Linked DNA regions of Rattus norvegicus. The protein of the gene in region 2 interacts with the protein of the main gene of each other region in a pairwise test. Links are inferred from orthologs where the notes say so. Each region holds a gene or a part of one and is shown on either strand. Other genes may lie near its edges.

Evidence for each region. The genes of interacting proteins can lie anywhere in the genome.
Region 1: the proteins of Pnma5 (region 2) and Zbtb25 interact in binary tests that used the Homo sapiens proteins (3 or more experiments, as listed by UniProt). The two-hybrid records come from large-scale screens. The link is inferred for Rattus norvegicus from reciprocal best matches to the Homo sapiens genes PNMA5 and ZBTB25.
Region 3: the proteins of Pnma5 (region 2) and Tbc1d22b interact in binary tests that used the Homo sapiens proteins (3 or more experiments, as listed by UniProt). The link is inferred for Rattus norvegicus from reciprocal best matches to the Homo sapiens genes PNMA5 and TBC1D22B.

What each region holds. Positions count from the first base shown.
Region 1 is NC_086024.1:100,816,679-100,821,509, reverse strand, and holds the start of Zbtb25 (zinc finger and BTB domain-containing protein 25), read left to right. Parts: upstream 1-1,817; 5' UTR 1,818-1,852; intron 1,853-2,503; 5' UTR 2,504-2,510; coding exon 2,511-2,683; intron 2,684-4,831. UniProt on the Homo sapiens protein: May be involved in transcriptional regulation.
Region 2 is NC_086039.1:155,922,428-155,927,050, reverse strand, and holds Pnma5 (paraneoplastic antigen-like protein 5), read left to right. Parts: upstream 1-1,995; coding exon 1,996-3,306; 3' UTR 3,307-3,920; downstream 3,921-4,623.
Region 3 is NC_086038.1:7,619,102-7,623,839, forward strand, and holds the start of Tbc1d22b (TBC1 domain family member 22B), read left to right. Parts: upstream 1-1,724; 5' UTR 1,725-1,759; coding exon 1,760-1,815; intron 1,816-4,738. Other genes in the region: Tmem217 (transmembrane protein 217), read right to left, coding at 1,405-1,457. UniProt on the Homo sapiens protein: May act as a GTPase-activating protein for Rab family protein(s).

The sequences.
Region 1 (4,831 bases), on a different chromosome or scaffold from region 2:
GAAGAGGGCATCGAATCCCATTACAGATGGTTGTGAGCCACCACGTGGTTGCTGGGAATTGAACTCAGGACCTCTGGAAGAGCAGACAGTGCTCTTAACCACTGAGCTGTGTCTCCAGCCCTTATTTTTTTATTTTTATTGTTATCTGAACTGTTTATAATTTTGAGTTGAGATAGTATAGTCCCCCACCAGCCATTTACCTCTACTCCTTAGTTTCTTTCCCAGAGTTATTGAGGAGTGAATCAGAACCTTTCCAGTGACATACACACAGACAGGAAGTTAGTTATGGAAAATGTTTTCTCCCATGCTTAAAAGTAAAATAACAGCTCAGCTCCTTTCACATAGTTTTCTTTATGTATATTCTGCCTCTTACTGTGTCGCAGCAGTATATTGCAGTTTTTAATAAAGCAGGTTCTTTTGTCAATAATAATGTTATCATTGTTATATTTAGACTTTCTTTGCATATATAGTTGTTGTATATCATCTATTTAACCAGCAGGACATCCAGGTCTCTCCAGAACTCCTCCTTGTTAATGTTCCTTAACCTTCCTCTGCAGTTGTTGTCAGTAGCTCTCTCTCAGGGCTGCTCTAACCTGTGGGTCATGTTTCCTTTTAGGGACTGTGGGGAATTTGGCCTTTGGAGCTTTCTGCCCCTTACTAGCAGTGTGATCTTGGGTGTCCGTCATTCAGTCCTGACTTGTAAAGGGAACCTAATATTCCTTTGCTTGGGAAGTTCTGTTAAGAATAGAATGGGTTAAAGTGCCTAACACACAGGAAGCACTGTAATGGGTTATCTATCTTTATTATATCATCATGAGTTGCTCACCTGTCTGCTACCCATGCTATTGCTAATCTCTTGATGGTTACCCCAGCCTCAATCATTGACCTCAGACCTTGGTCTCTGGCTCTAGAAGAAGCCTCATTCTCACTTTCAGAATCTGCTCTTTCAAAGCTTGTTCTCCCAGTTCCCTAGTGTGTTAGGGTTTCATTGCTGTGAGGGGACACCATGGTCATGGCAACTCTTGTAAAGGACATTTAATTGGTGCTGGCTTACAGTTTCGTTCAGTCCGTTATCGTAGCAGGAAGCATGGCAGCCTGCAGACTGACATTGGTTCTTTAGAAGGTGCTGAGAGTTCTACATGTTGATCCAAAAGCAGCCAGGAGGATTTCACACAGGGCGGAGCTTGAGCATAGGAGACCTCAAAGCCCACCTACACAGTGATGCACTTCCTCTAACAAGTCCACACCTATGACCAAGCATTGAAATGCATGAATCTACGGGGAGCCAAACATATTCTAACTACCACACTTAGTGACACCCATTGAATTGCAGCTGCCTTCCTCCCCAAAGCACCAGGCTCTTTGCACAGCTAGGGCAAAGGTGGTAGTGAAGAATAGCCCCCACCTGCCTGAAACTGACTTTCCTGTGTCTTTTTTTTTTTTTTTCTTTTCTTTTGTTCAGAGCTGGGGACCGAACCCAGGGCCTTGCGCTTGCTAGGCAAGCGCTCTACCACTGAGCTAAATCCTCAACCCCTTTTCCTGTGTCTTTGTTGCTTACAGTTACAGTTACACAGTCTGTTGTGGCCAGGACTTACTTGCATATCCTCATGCAGGATTTTCCCCTTGAGGCCCATTTACCAGGTCTTCCTTTTCTTACCACAGAGAATCTGCATCCTGGTGTGTATGAAATCAGGTTGTAGGTTCTTTCTAATGAGCTCCCAGACCCTTATAAATAAGGGTATAGCTTGACATCTGTGACGGCTAAGTCCCACAAACATTTCATGACAGTCAGGAGGCCAGTGTCTCCGGAATGCCAGAGGATCTCAGAAGAAAATGGACAGTTCTAGTCCAGGTAGGATGCCCATCAGGCTGGAGAGATAGATGACTGAGGCTCACAACCAGATAGGGTGCCCTGTTATTCCCACTTATAGGTAACGTTACAACCCTGTTTTCACTAAGTTATCTCAAGTAACTCCGAGTCACAGCATTAGAAACGTGATCTAAAGGTGGGGTAGAGCTCAGTAGTAGTGTTTCTGGGTAGACAAAGCCCCAGGTGCTTTAAACCAAAGGAGAGTAGGAGTGGGGCTCGCCTAGCATGGGCAAGGCCCTGGGTTTGATAAGGTACACATACAGGAAATTGAAACATGGTCACGTGGAAAAGCACGAGCATTTCTCTCCCTTATACAAATCACCTTCTACCTTGCTTAAAAAGACTGTCTTACTGTCCAGTAGAGTTTATCTCAGTGTCATAATTAAGGGATTTAATGTTAGATAGCGAAGTCAACTGTGTTGAATATTTTCATTTAAAATGAGGCCTTAATGCTCTAGGTTTGTGGGAAATGTAACCAGGTTTGTGTATAAATATATGTGTGTGTGTGTGTGTGTGTGTGTGTGTGTGTGTGTATATGTATATACATACATATGTGTGTGCATATGTATATATGTCTGTATGTATATAAAAATCTATATATTCCAAACATATATTTATGTTGGTTTTTCTCAGAGCCACAATGGATACTGCTAGCCATAGCCTTGTGCTTCTGCAGCAGCTGAACATGCAGCGAGAATTTGGTTTTCTGTGTGACTGCACAGTTGCTATTGGAGACGTTTACTTCAAAGCCCACCGAGCAGTACTTGCTGCTTTTTCTAACTATTTCAAGATGATTTTTATTCACCAAACAAGGTAAGAAGCAGCTTTTGTAAATGAGAAGAATTTTTTAATATTGTGATATATATGCCTTATAATATCATTCAAGGCAGTGGTTTTTCAACCTTTCTAATGCTGAGACCTTTAATACAGTCCCTCGTGTTGTGGTAACCCCCAACCTTAAAATTATTTTGTTGCCATTTCATAGCTGTAACTTTGCTAACTGTTAAGAATCATAATGTAAATAACTGATATGTAGGATATCTGATAGTTGACCCATGAAAGGATTATTTGATCCCAGACGGGTTTCAACCCACAGGTTGAAAATCATTGGTTTAAGGGCTTATTATTGGGTTATCCTAATAGAAATTTTTATTTTATTTATTATATGTAAGTACATTGTAGCTGTCTTCCGACACACCAGAGGGCATCAGATCCCATTACAGATGGTTGTGAGCCACCATGTGGTTGCTGGGAATTGAACTCAGGACCTCTGGAAGAGCAGTCAGTGCTCTTAACCACTGAGCCATCTCTCCAGCCCCCACAAATTTTTAATTATAATAACACACACATGCACACATATACACATATATATTTCAGTATTAAGCTCAGTACATGGTATCTGTGGTAGAACATACTTAATGAAAACATGTATAACTCAACTTGATTAAAGGCTTAGCCCAGTCCAGTGTGGGGCTGCATTCCTTTCATCTTACCTCAGGTGGCAGAGGGAAGGGGATCTCTGAGTTTGAGGACAACTTGTCTACATGGTGAGTTCTAGGCCAATCAAGGCTACCTAATGAGATCAAACCCTCTACCAACAAAAAAGTCTTAACTAATACCCAAGCATCAAATCCTATCATGTAAATTGCACTGTTATCCTGGTGTTAGGGAAAAGGCAACTGAGACTGAGCTGTTAAATGGCCCATGCAGGGTTAAATAACTGATCAGCTGGGCTCAAGTATAACTAACTCTGAAGCTAAACTGTGTACTTAAGCACGAGGCTGTTGATTTCTGTGTAGCATCCTTTCAGTGTCACATTGTACCGTCACATACTGAACATCACCAGTAACAGAGTATTTGTTTCACATTGTTTTGGTTTTGTGTTTTTTTAATTCTTTTTGCATTTTTTGAATTTAGATATGGGAATTCAAATTCTGAGCTCTGGGAAAAGATTAATTTAGTCTAGTCTAGGCTTAGACAATTCTAGAATGTTGCTTGCTTATTTATTTATTATTTTTTATAAATTTTGAGATAGAGTCTCACTAAGTTGTCCAAACTGCCCTTGAACTTACTCTGTAGCCCAGGAGGACCTTGAACTTGTGATCTTCCTGCCTCAGCTTTCAGTAGCTAGAACCATAGGCCCAAGCCACCAGGCTTGGTTCCCTGTGTACTGGGTGGGTTGTTGTTTTGTTTGTTTTTAAAGGACCTTACATGAAACTGAGGAGTCAAATCCCAATTATATATTTATTTAACTGTTCAAACATTTAAATATTTCCTAAGTACATATATATTAGAGGTTGAGCTACAGTACAGTCATAAGTAACTTATACTCTGCCTTCGAGAAATCTATAGCCTGATAGAGAGTCAGATGTAAACAAATAGTTGAGCTGTCTGGTGGTAGTCACTCCTGGTGCTGTGACAAAATGCCTAAGAAAACAAGGATTTGTTGTGCTTACAGTCACAAGCTTTAGCCCACTTGCAGCTGGCCTGCTCTCCATTACTTTTAAGACTGGGAAGACAAAGATAGCATGAGAGAAAGGGTAACAGAAAAGCTACCCACTTCAAGCTAGGCAGGAGAAAGCAGGAACAGTGCAGTGACCAGGGACTGGATAACAGCCCTGGCAGGTGTACTCTTGGTGACTCTTCTTCCACCTTGGCCCCATTTCCTAGTGTTTCCCACCTCCAAGTAATTCAGTCACATGACATGTGACTTCTTGAGTGGTGAGCACACTGGTGAAACCAGAGACCTTGTGATCTAGTCACTTCCCCAAAGCCCGTCAGATGGCCACCATGGTTGTGAGATTGTACACCTGAGCCTCCAGGGAACATTTCACCTTCAAACCCTAACACTCAGCTCTCTTGTCTGTTAAATGCTACAGTATATACTCTCCTTTTGGGTACTAAAAGATTAAGTGGATTAATGCCATTAAAATGTTTAGAACAGAGCTTTGCTCTTGGTAA
Region 2 (4,623 bases):
CAAAGCGTAATGGATTATTTCTGGTTGTTTTCCCTTTGTGAGATAGGTTGGGTTTTTTTTTTGTTTGTTTGTTTTTTGTTTTTTTGTTTTTTTGTTTTTTTTTTTTTTTTTGGAGCGGAGGACCGACTCAGGGCCTTGCGCTTGCTAGGCAAGCGCTCTACCACTGAGCTAAATCCCCAACCCAGTGAGATAGAATTTTTATGTTGCACAGGCCGGCCTCACCTTTCTGGGTTCAGGTGACCTTTCTGCCTCCTGAGAAGCTGATCCCCAGGGTTTGTTTGGGTTTTAGAATAGGTCGAGGTAGGAAAATTTAGGCATAAGTGAGGGAAATATTTGGCAACAGGAGTACTTTAGATTGTCACTAGGATGCGGTGTTGGGACATAACTTGAAAGGTATTATTGGAAGGGGCTGGCCTGGTCCAGTGCAGGGACTGAGAGATGGCTGCAGGATTCTGGGGACTTGATGGAACTGGGAAGGGCCAACACTTGGGACAGTTGAGAAGTTGCTGGAACCCGGATCGGTCTGGGTCTTGTTCAGAGCTGGAACTGAGATAGATGGTGGGTGGACCAAAATGGCGCTGGAACAGGGACGAGGTGGTGCTGGGCACAACTAGCAGGTTGCAGGGACCAGGATGGAGCTGGATGGCAGCTGATTCTGGAAATAGGAGTGACATTTTGTGATGGACAGAGGTCAGTGGAGTCTGTCTCAGCAGCTCCTCCTAGTGGAGCAGTTGCTCAAATCCTTGCAAGGAATTAAAAAAAAAAAAAAAAAAGTCTTACAAAGTAGCTTCCGCTGGCTTACTTTTCAAAACTGACAGATCAGCCTCAGCCTACTTCAAGTGCAGGGATTAAAGATGTGCTCAACCACACCCAGCAAAAGGGGCTGTCTTTAGATTCTTGAGCAGACTCAGAATTGCTACAGCCTGCATGGGCAGGGACATTCAGGACAGACCATATTAAATATTGCTCTGCCTTGCCTTGAACAGATCAGTGGGCAGGAACCAGCATTCCTGCACTGCCTGTCTGCATAGAGCCAGAAGACTGTGAGGATCAAGCACCAGTACCAGGAAAGTCATCATCTCAGCACTTCAGTAGGGTAGGTACTACACAGAAAACAGCGGGGTGAGCATCTATTTTGGGAGTAGCCTTTAACTGTAGCAAAGAGCTGGTTCAACGTGTTTCCTGCCAAGATTCACAGACCGCAGGGTAGGGCCATACCTGGGATGACAGTTGTCTGTTTACTTTCTGGGGTTATTTTTGCTTTTAATTCCAGATTCCATACTATGTAAACCCATACGCTTGATTTATCAGCCCTCCTCAGTCTCTGCCCTATCCTGCTGTCCATACCTGTGGCTAAGATGCTTTATTACTTGGAGGACCATGACAGCACCTGTTGTCCTTCAAAGGCCTTAATCTATTGTAGAAGCCCAGATTTACACTGTTCCTCTGTCCATGCCTACACTTTAGCTTGTCATATGTTCTTTGCACCCAGCACTGTGATCACATCTGCTGAGTTCCAGTCATCTTTCTTACCTGTTGAGCACTTCTTCAGGAGGAGGAGAGTTTTCTATGTGCTGCCAGTCTTGGACCTAATAAGGAATGGGCTAAATCCAATACAGCACTACGTGGGTGGCAGAGTGTTCTCCTGTTCTGTCCTCCACTGGGTCTTTTCCAGTACTCTCAGGTATGCTCTTTGCCTCCTGACATTGGCATTTTCCCTCCAGGTACTTGCAGAATATGGAGTAGCGTCCCTGGACTTTCAAGGAGGTTGCTGCAACTGGAGGTCAGCAGGGTTCAGTGAGGTTCCGGAAACTTTCTGTGATTGCACAAGACTGAATGTCTGGGAGGAGGAAAGGTGATGGGAATCATTAAGTACCACCTTAACTTCATTTGCATTTCAGGTTGTGGAAACCAGGACATCACTGCCTTTCTGTATGGCATTGGTTTAGAATCTTTGAGTGCTAGTGTTAGGTCTGCCCATAGAGGGAGGGAACAATGGCTGTAGCTCTATTAGATGACTGGTGTAAGGGGATGGATCTGGACCCCAGGAAGGCTGTACTCATTGTGGGCATCCCCGTACAGTGCACTGAAGCTGAGATAAAGGATGCTCTGAAAGAAGGCTTACCTCCTTTGTGTGCACACAAGGTGATAGGCAGAATGTTCAGGAGGGAAGATGAAGCTAAGGCAGTCTTAATTGAACTGACTGAAGTTGTCGATTATACTATGATGCCTACTCATATACCAGCAGAGGGTGGGGCCTGGGAAGTGGTTGTCAAACCCCGTAGCCCAGATGATGAGTTTATCAATAAGTTGATCTACTTTCTGAGAGATGAAGGGCGGAGAATGGTAGATGTGGCCAAAGCCCTGGGGTTTAGCACTGTCCCTACAGGGAGAATGGAGCTAAAGAATTTAGACCAAGACAAACCAAAAGGCTTGAAGTCTCTGTGCAGTAATGGCACATGTTACCAAAAACTAAAAGTGTTTTCTGGCAGTCCCTTTCCCGGCCCAGGAGAAGAAAGCTTTGAGACCTGGTTAGAGGAGGTCACTGAGCTGATGCACTTATGGCAGGTGTCTGAGAGTGAGAAGAAGCAGCGCCTTGTGGAGAGTCTGCGTGGCTCTGCCCTGTCAATCATGCAGGCACTGTGGGCTAGCAATGACTCCCTAACTGTGGAGCAGTGTTTGAAAGCCCTAAAGCACATCTTTGGGAATAAAGAGGACTGTAAGGTCTTCCAGTTCAGGTTCCTTCAATCTTCTCAGAAACCTGCAGAGAAGATATCTGATTACTTGCTACGCTTAGAGCCCCTGCTGCAAAAAGCAGTACAGCAGAGCCCATTGTCAACACACAGTGCAGATTCAATTCGTCTCAAGCATATCTTATCTAGGGTCTCCATGACCACTGGCCTTCGGGGCAAACTATCTCTCTTAGATCAGCAAGGGTGCCCACCTACTTTTCTGGAATTAATGAAACTCACTCGAGATGAGGAAGAGTGGGAGACCACTATGGTAGGGAAGGAGCAGAATCAGGCAGAAAAGGAAAACAGGACACGTGAGACAGCAGATCAAGTTGTTACCCAGGAGGAGTACTTTAGGGAGATCAGCACCCAGACCATAGGAGAGGAGATCACATCAGTGAAACGGAGGCGACTGCTATGGAGACAGAGTACTGGAGAAGAGGAACATATGAGGGAATCAGGTTTCTGGGCTGAAAATGAATCAGATGAGGAGAAACCCTTTGTTACAATACAGGAATCGGGAAACGAGAGAGGGGCTTGGGCTATGAGCCACCCCAACCCCAAGGAAATATAGGCTCAGGACATGCAGGAATTCCTTCCTCTGGCAGGCAACAGAGATACTGTGACAAAATCATGGGGCAGCCCAGGCAAAGAGCAGGGGACATGGGTGTTGCAGAAGAGCAGCGGGGCCAGGGTAAAGCCCCCAACTTCTTACTACTTAGAAATGATTACAACAAGCAAGGGCAAGTTCCATGCAGCTCAGTGACAACCAAATGCCAGGCCCACAGGGAGTGTCAGAGACAGAACTGGGGAGCTAATATGATAAGCAGACTACAGGGTCATCCAGACTGTAGTTGGCATACTAGTGGGTCACAAGATGGTGACGCTGGGTGCTCTGAGCTAAGGATGCCCACCAGCACTGAAGCAGCACAGGGCATAAAGGAGCCCGCCACGGGGTTGTCTTGGGCAGAGGACACCAGTGCCTGGGAGCAAGTACAGCTAGGGAGGGAGGGAGTACCCAGGAGAGGAGGCCGCAGGATCCAGCCTGTCTTCAGGATCATCTACACTGCTCTAGGGGAGCCCCATGAGGGCAGCACCCTTGAGTCCTTCCGTGAGTGAACTCCCCCCACCCCCGTGAAACCCCCAATCTCCAGACCCACCAAAGGATGGGGGGATGGGGGCTAGGCAGTGCCAACGCAGGGCAGTTTCCCTCTTGGCACCTGACAGGACACCAGTGCCTGAGAAGAGCCCCAGGCTGGGGCACATGGCACCATAGGGTTAATGCCCTCAGCTGGCCTGAGAGCCTGGGAGTGTGCAGGGCAGATTTTGTGCGAACAAACAGGAGATGGAAGAACATCAGGAGGAGGACTCTGTGTGTGTCGGGGTTGGGCTTGGGGGGGGGGGGGCGTAGTTTGTTCTTCTCCCTTTTGTCCAGGGCTGCTGGAGAATTCCAGAGAGCAAGCAGGGAGAGCCAGTGAATTCAACTCTGCCAAGGCTGGCCCCAAACCCTGCCGAGCTGAGGGGTGGTCTGGCGGCATTACCAGAGCGCCATCCTCCATCTGCCATCCATACCAAACGCGTGGACGTTCCAGAAGAGGCCATCTCGAGGGTTCTGCCTACTGCCTGGCTCTCCCAATACGGACGCCCCTTCCCCTTCCCATTACTGTCCAGAGGCTGTACCCCCTGCTCTGGAACCCCGCCTTCTTACCTGCTAAGCTCATAGTGACCCAGTTGCCCAGTGAGTCCCTTCCCCCACTGTGTGCTTACCCACCATTGGCTGCTCCTGTACAAAGCCGTGAGTGAGGTGTGTGTGTTAAGGAGGGTAAGTGGATGCTATGCTCCCACCAGTTCCCTGTGCCTGGACTGTGTATTCTACACTGTTGTGGGTGAT
Region 3 (4,738 bases), on a different chromosome or scaffold from region 2:
GAGTTACAGGCCATTGTGAGTCGCTACCTGCTGTGGTACTTGGGAACTGAACTCAGGTCCTCTGCAAGAGCAGCACATGCTTTTAACCCCCACCAGGCTCACAGTCCTATTTTAAAATTAGCAAGCAAAAGAAGCCTGAAAACTGGGAGTAATATCTATGTAGAAAGATGTCACCAGAGGACATATAGAAGCAGGTCTTTTTTTTTTTTTTTTTTTTTTTTTTTCCGGAGCTGGGGACCGAACCCAGGGCCTTGCACTCGCTAGGCAAGCGCTCTACCACTGAGCTAAATCCCCAACCCCGCAGGTCTTTCTTTTAGTGGGAAAAGAAGGAGCCTTGAGAATCCTCCAATATGTTGGGCCAGCAAGATGGCTCAGTGGGTATAGGGGCTTGCTGCCAAGCCTGAGGACCTGAGTTTGATTTCTTCCGACCTAAATGGTGGGAAAACGGAAAACTGCAAGTTGTCCTCTGCCCTCCACACTTACACACACACACACACACACACACACACACACACACACACACACACACGCACGCCCACACGCATGCACGCACGCACAAATAAATGTAATATTTTTTTAATATTTAGAAAACAGGGTGTTAGTACAGAGATGGATTGGGGGGGGCAACCTGCACACATCTACAGTTCCTTGTCTGAACAAAAATTTTTTGGGGTGGGTAGAAAATCTCCATCTTCCCTCGAAGTGTCGTCCCAGGACACACTCCAAAAAGAGAGGTAGTCATTAACATGACACCCAAAGGAGACAACATGCTAAAACCAGATCTCATTTCGAGTCGAAATTAGATTGAAAAATTAATCTGTAGACGGAAGATTTATAACCGGTTAATAAAGGGGTTGAGGCTATTGGGGTAGATTCTCCATCTTCCTGATCGTTGCCATGGAGATGTCCAACAACCCTTAGAGAAAAACGGTACTTGGAGGGTAAAACAGTATTTCCTAAGTACGACTTCTCAGTACCTCGATCCTCACAAGCAGAAAGAGTAAGACCCGAAGGAGGGATTACATCACGAAGTTCAGTTAGCGGAAGAGAGGGAAACTCTGATCAATCAACTGCTATTCATACAATAGTTCCCCGCCCTGGGGTCTGGCCGGAGCTATCGTCTAAGAAATTGGGATCCTAAGGGAACAAGGAGGGGGCTAACCACCCTGGGTGCCATTGAGGTCTCAAAAATGGTCTCCATAATTACATGAGACCTTACTTAAGACTAATGTATATAAATGTTATGGTTTCTCCTTCCCTCTCCCCTCCAGGAAAACCCCAGAACCTCAGCCCATCAAAGGCAACAGTCCCATCTCCTTCTTCCCATTCCCAGCAGGTCTTTTTCTTTTTTTCTTTTCTATTTTCTTTTCTTTCCTTTTTTTTTTTTTTTTTTTTTTTTTTTACCTGGTTCTCTGCCTCCGGGGAGTAGGAACTTTCAGCCCCGCCTTCCTGCCCATCTAAGCCCCGCCTTCCCGGCCCACCTGTGTGCCCAGCCCATGACGTTGCCGCGGGGCTTCAGCGGCCGGCAGGATCCCGGATCCTTATTGGTCCATCCGCTCACCGGCCTGCACAGCCCACCAATGGCAACGGCGCTGGGCGGGGGGAGTGCCCACATCCAAGATGGCGCCCCCAGGAGCTGGGAGCGGGTGACCGGCGGCGGGGAAGCGGCCTGGGCTGGCCCTCAGATTGCGGGGTCCCGGGGGCCTGTCGCGGGGCGCCCCCGTGACCCACTGACCAGGCCTTCCCCCGGGCCAGAGCGATGGCCGCCGAGAACAGCAAGCAGTTCTGGAAGAGGAGCGCCAAGCTGCCGGGGAGGTGAGTCCAGGACGCTGAGGGGAGTGGGGATTGGACCCAAAGCCTTCCAGATCTTGATCTCTGAATCCCGCCGTCTTGGGGCGCCCCCGAGGCCGGAGGGCTGGTGTCGGGGTAGCCCAGGCTAGAGCAGCTGTCAATCAGAGGAGCCTGGCCAGCTTGGGTGTGGGGTGCAGTCTAGGGTCTGGGGGCGGGGAACCTCAGCTTGGAGGTGTCAGGGAGCCCGGTGTGAGGGGCAGAGGAGTTGGGCGAGTTGACATTGTCAGTCTGGCCTTGGAGGGCCACCTGCAGACCGCTTTCGACTTTGTACCGAACTACTCAGGGGTCTCCAACAGCATGGGTGGCTGCCTGCATGAGGGTGGATGGCCCCATGGCCTTGGGTCCCAGTCCATCACCTTCCTGTTTTCTTTTTGTACTCCCCAGGGGTTCTGATGGGGCAGGCCTGCAGGGTATGAGCAAGGGAAAGTGAGGGGGAATTCTCAAGCCTGACCTTACTTTGTCTTGAGTTGGTCCTTTCTCATTAGAAATTATTACAGGGTGGCCACAGGGTGGAGAGTAAGTTACTTCTGACATTTTCTAATCACTTGCGCAATCCCTGAGAAGTGATGTGCTTTTAGTGTAGATGCATTAAATTCTCTGAATCCTCAGTTTTGTTGGAGAGCAGGCCTCCTGAGTGACTGACTTATTTTCTTAGTGTTTCTTTCTCTTCTTGGTGTATGTTGACATTCTGAACAATTGTCTGTCTGTCAGTCAGCCTTTGGATTACTGGCTCAGTTTGTTTTGGGTGGTGTCCTGAAAAGTGAAAGCCCTATGTGTTTTCACTACTGGGTTTAAGATTTCTGCCAGTCACAGGCTGCTTGGTGTTAGAATTTGTGTCTGATCATGGCCCTCAAGTGTTATCTTTCCTTAGTGATTTGCCTGTAAGTCTTTTTGTTCAGGTGTACTCCTTTGACTTGTGACCTCGATCTCTTACCCTCCTCCTTTCTCTCCCCCCTCTCTCTCCTCCCCTTCTTCCTCCCTCTCTTCTTTCTCCCTCTTTCCTTCTCTCCATCTCTCTCCACACTATTGAGGACGCTCTACCACTGAGCTGCACACAGCCCCCTCTCTTTAAGTGAAAGAGAACCGAGAGTCAACCTTGGCTGTGTAACTTTTCTGAGCTGTCATTAGACACGTGGAGAAAGTTTAGGGACCAGGTTTTAGCAACTCGTATTAATATAATACCAGGGGAGGCAAGGGTAGCTTTGGTTTGAAGTGCTGTGGGGGTTAACGGTGTTCACACATTGAACAGTGACACCGTGTTTTTAGATAAGCTCCGCTTCCTGCCACTGATTTCTTTTTCCTTCCTGCTTGAGCGAGCTCTCCAGTCGCGCTGACTGCTCTTCTCTGGGAGTTTGCTACAGAGGGATCATGACAGTTTGATATCCTGAGATAATAATCGGTGGGGGGAAAAACTGGTTACGTCAGGAAGCAGGGGTGAGGGCAGTGGGAGATGGGCGATCTTTGTGCCTTTGGACGGCCAGATGTGGTGCACTAATGGTCTTTTGTTTCCTTTATTTCTTCTACTGGCCTATGGGAAGTCAACTTTTTAAAAAGTACTACTTTAAATAATTACATTTATTTATCTGTTTAATTAGTGTGTGTGTGTGTGTGTGTGTGTGTGTGTGTGTGTCTCCAAGGGTGTGCACTTGTGCATGTCACAGTGTTCAAGTGGAGGTCAGAGGAGGACAATTTACAAGAGTCAGTTCTCTCCTTCCACCATGCGGATCTCAGGGATTGAACTCAGGTCATCAGGCTTAGGGGGAAGCATCTTTATCTGCTGAGCTGTCTTGACGGCCCAAAAGCATTACTTTTGCTGGAGTAGGTGGACTCTTCAGTTTCTCCAAAGCTCTGGCTTCCTCTTTTCATTTTGAAACGTGGAGCCTTGGCGGCGAGAATTTTGGAGTCCGGGTCATCATGATTTATCATTGTTGTTATTATTTTACTTTTATCATCATCGTCGTTCAGATCCTCTTACCTGCAGGAGTCGCAGTCTACCTCAGCTTCAGTTTCCTTCATAGGGGAATAAAATCTCTTCCCTCAGAATCATCCGAAGGCTAACGGGAATGCCCTATTTGTATAGAACCCATTGTAAAGAACCTAGGACAGCGTTTATTTGCTACACAGTACTTGCTCCATAAATAGTCATTATTAATTACCCCCTCGTTATTAGAGCAAGCAAACATTTAAAAGGATGTTTCTCAGCTCCCAGGACTAGTTATTTGTCTTTTTTATTATGGAGGCATAAAAATGTTGCCATGATCCATAAACCACGATCCATACCTTGCCTGGCCAGGGGAGTGTTATCCCCTGTACACGCTCGTCAGAGAGCCCCAGAGCTCAGGGCTGTTGGGAAAAGCTGCTGTTCGTTCCCATAGAAGGCATTTTGGTTCCAGAACAGAACTTTTACATCTGAACTCTTCCCAGTCTGTGGAAGAGGCGTTTCCTCGTGATTCAGCCGATGAACTAGCTAGTGCCAGGTCCTCAGAAGTGTAGAAAGAAAGTTACTTTTCTCTTCTTTGCAGTTTGAAAGGTGAGAAAAGTGTAAATTGTAGCTGGTTACTTTCAGTTTCTTTGATCAGGATGGAGAGACCTTAGTGACAGCTGGAGTAGAAATTTTGTTCGAGCCTACAGCCTACATTCCAAAAAACAACAACAACAACAACAACAAAAAAAACAAAAAACAAAACAAAACCCAAAGTGGGCCAGAGAGATGGCTCAGCTGTTAAGAGCACTGGCTGCTCTTCCAGAGGTCCTGAGTTCAATTCCCAGCAGCCAGTAGTAGTTCCGTAATGGGATCTGATGCCCTCTTCAGTCATGCAGGTGTACATGCAGATAGAGCACTCATAGACATAGAAATACATGAATAAATAAACCTTTAAAAGAATAA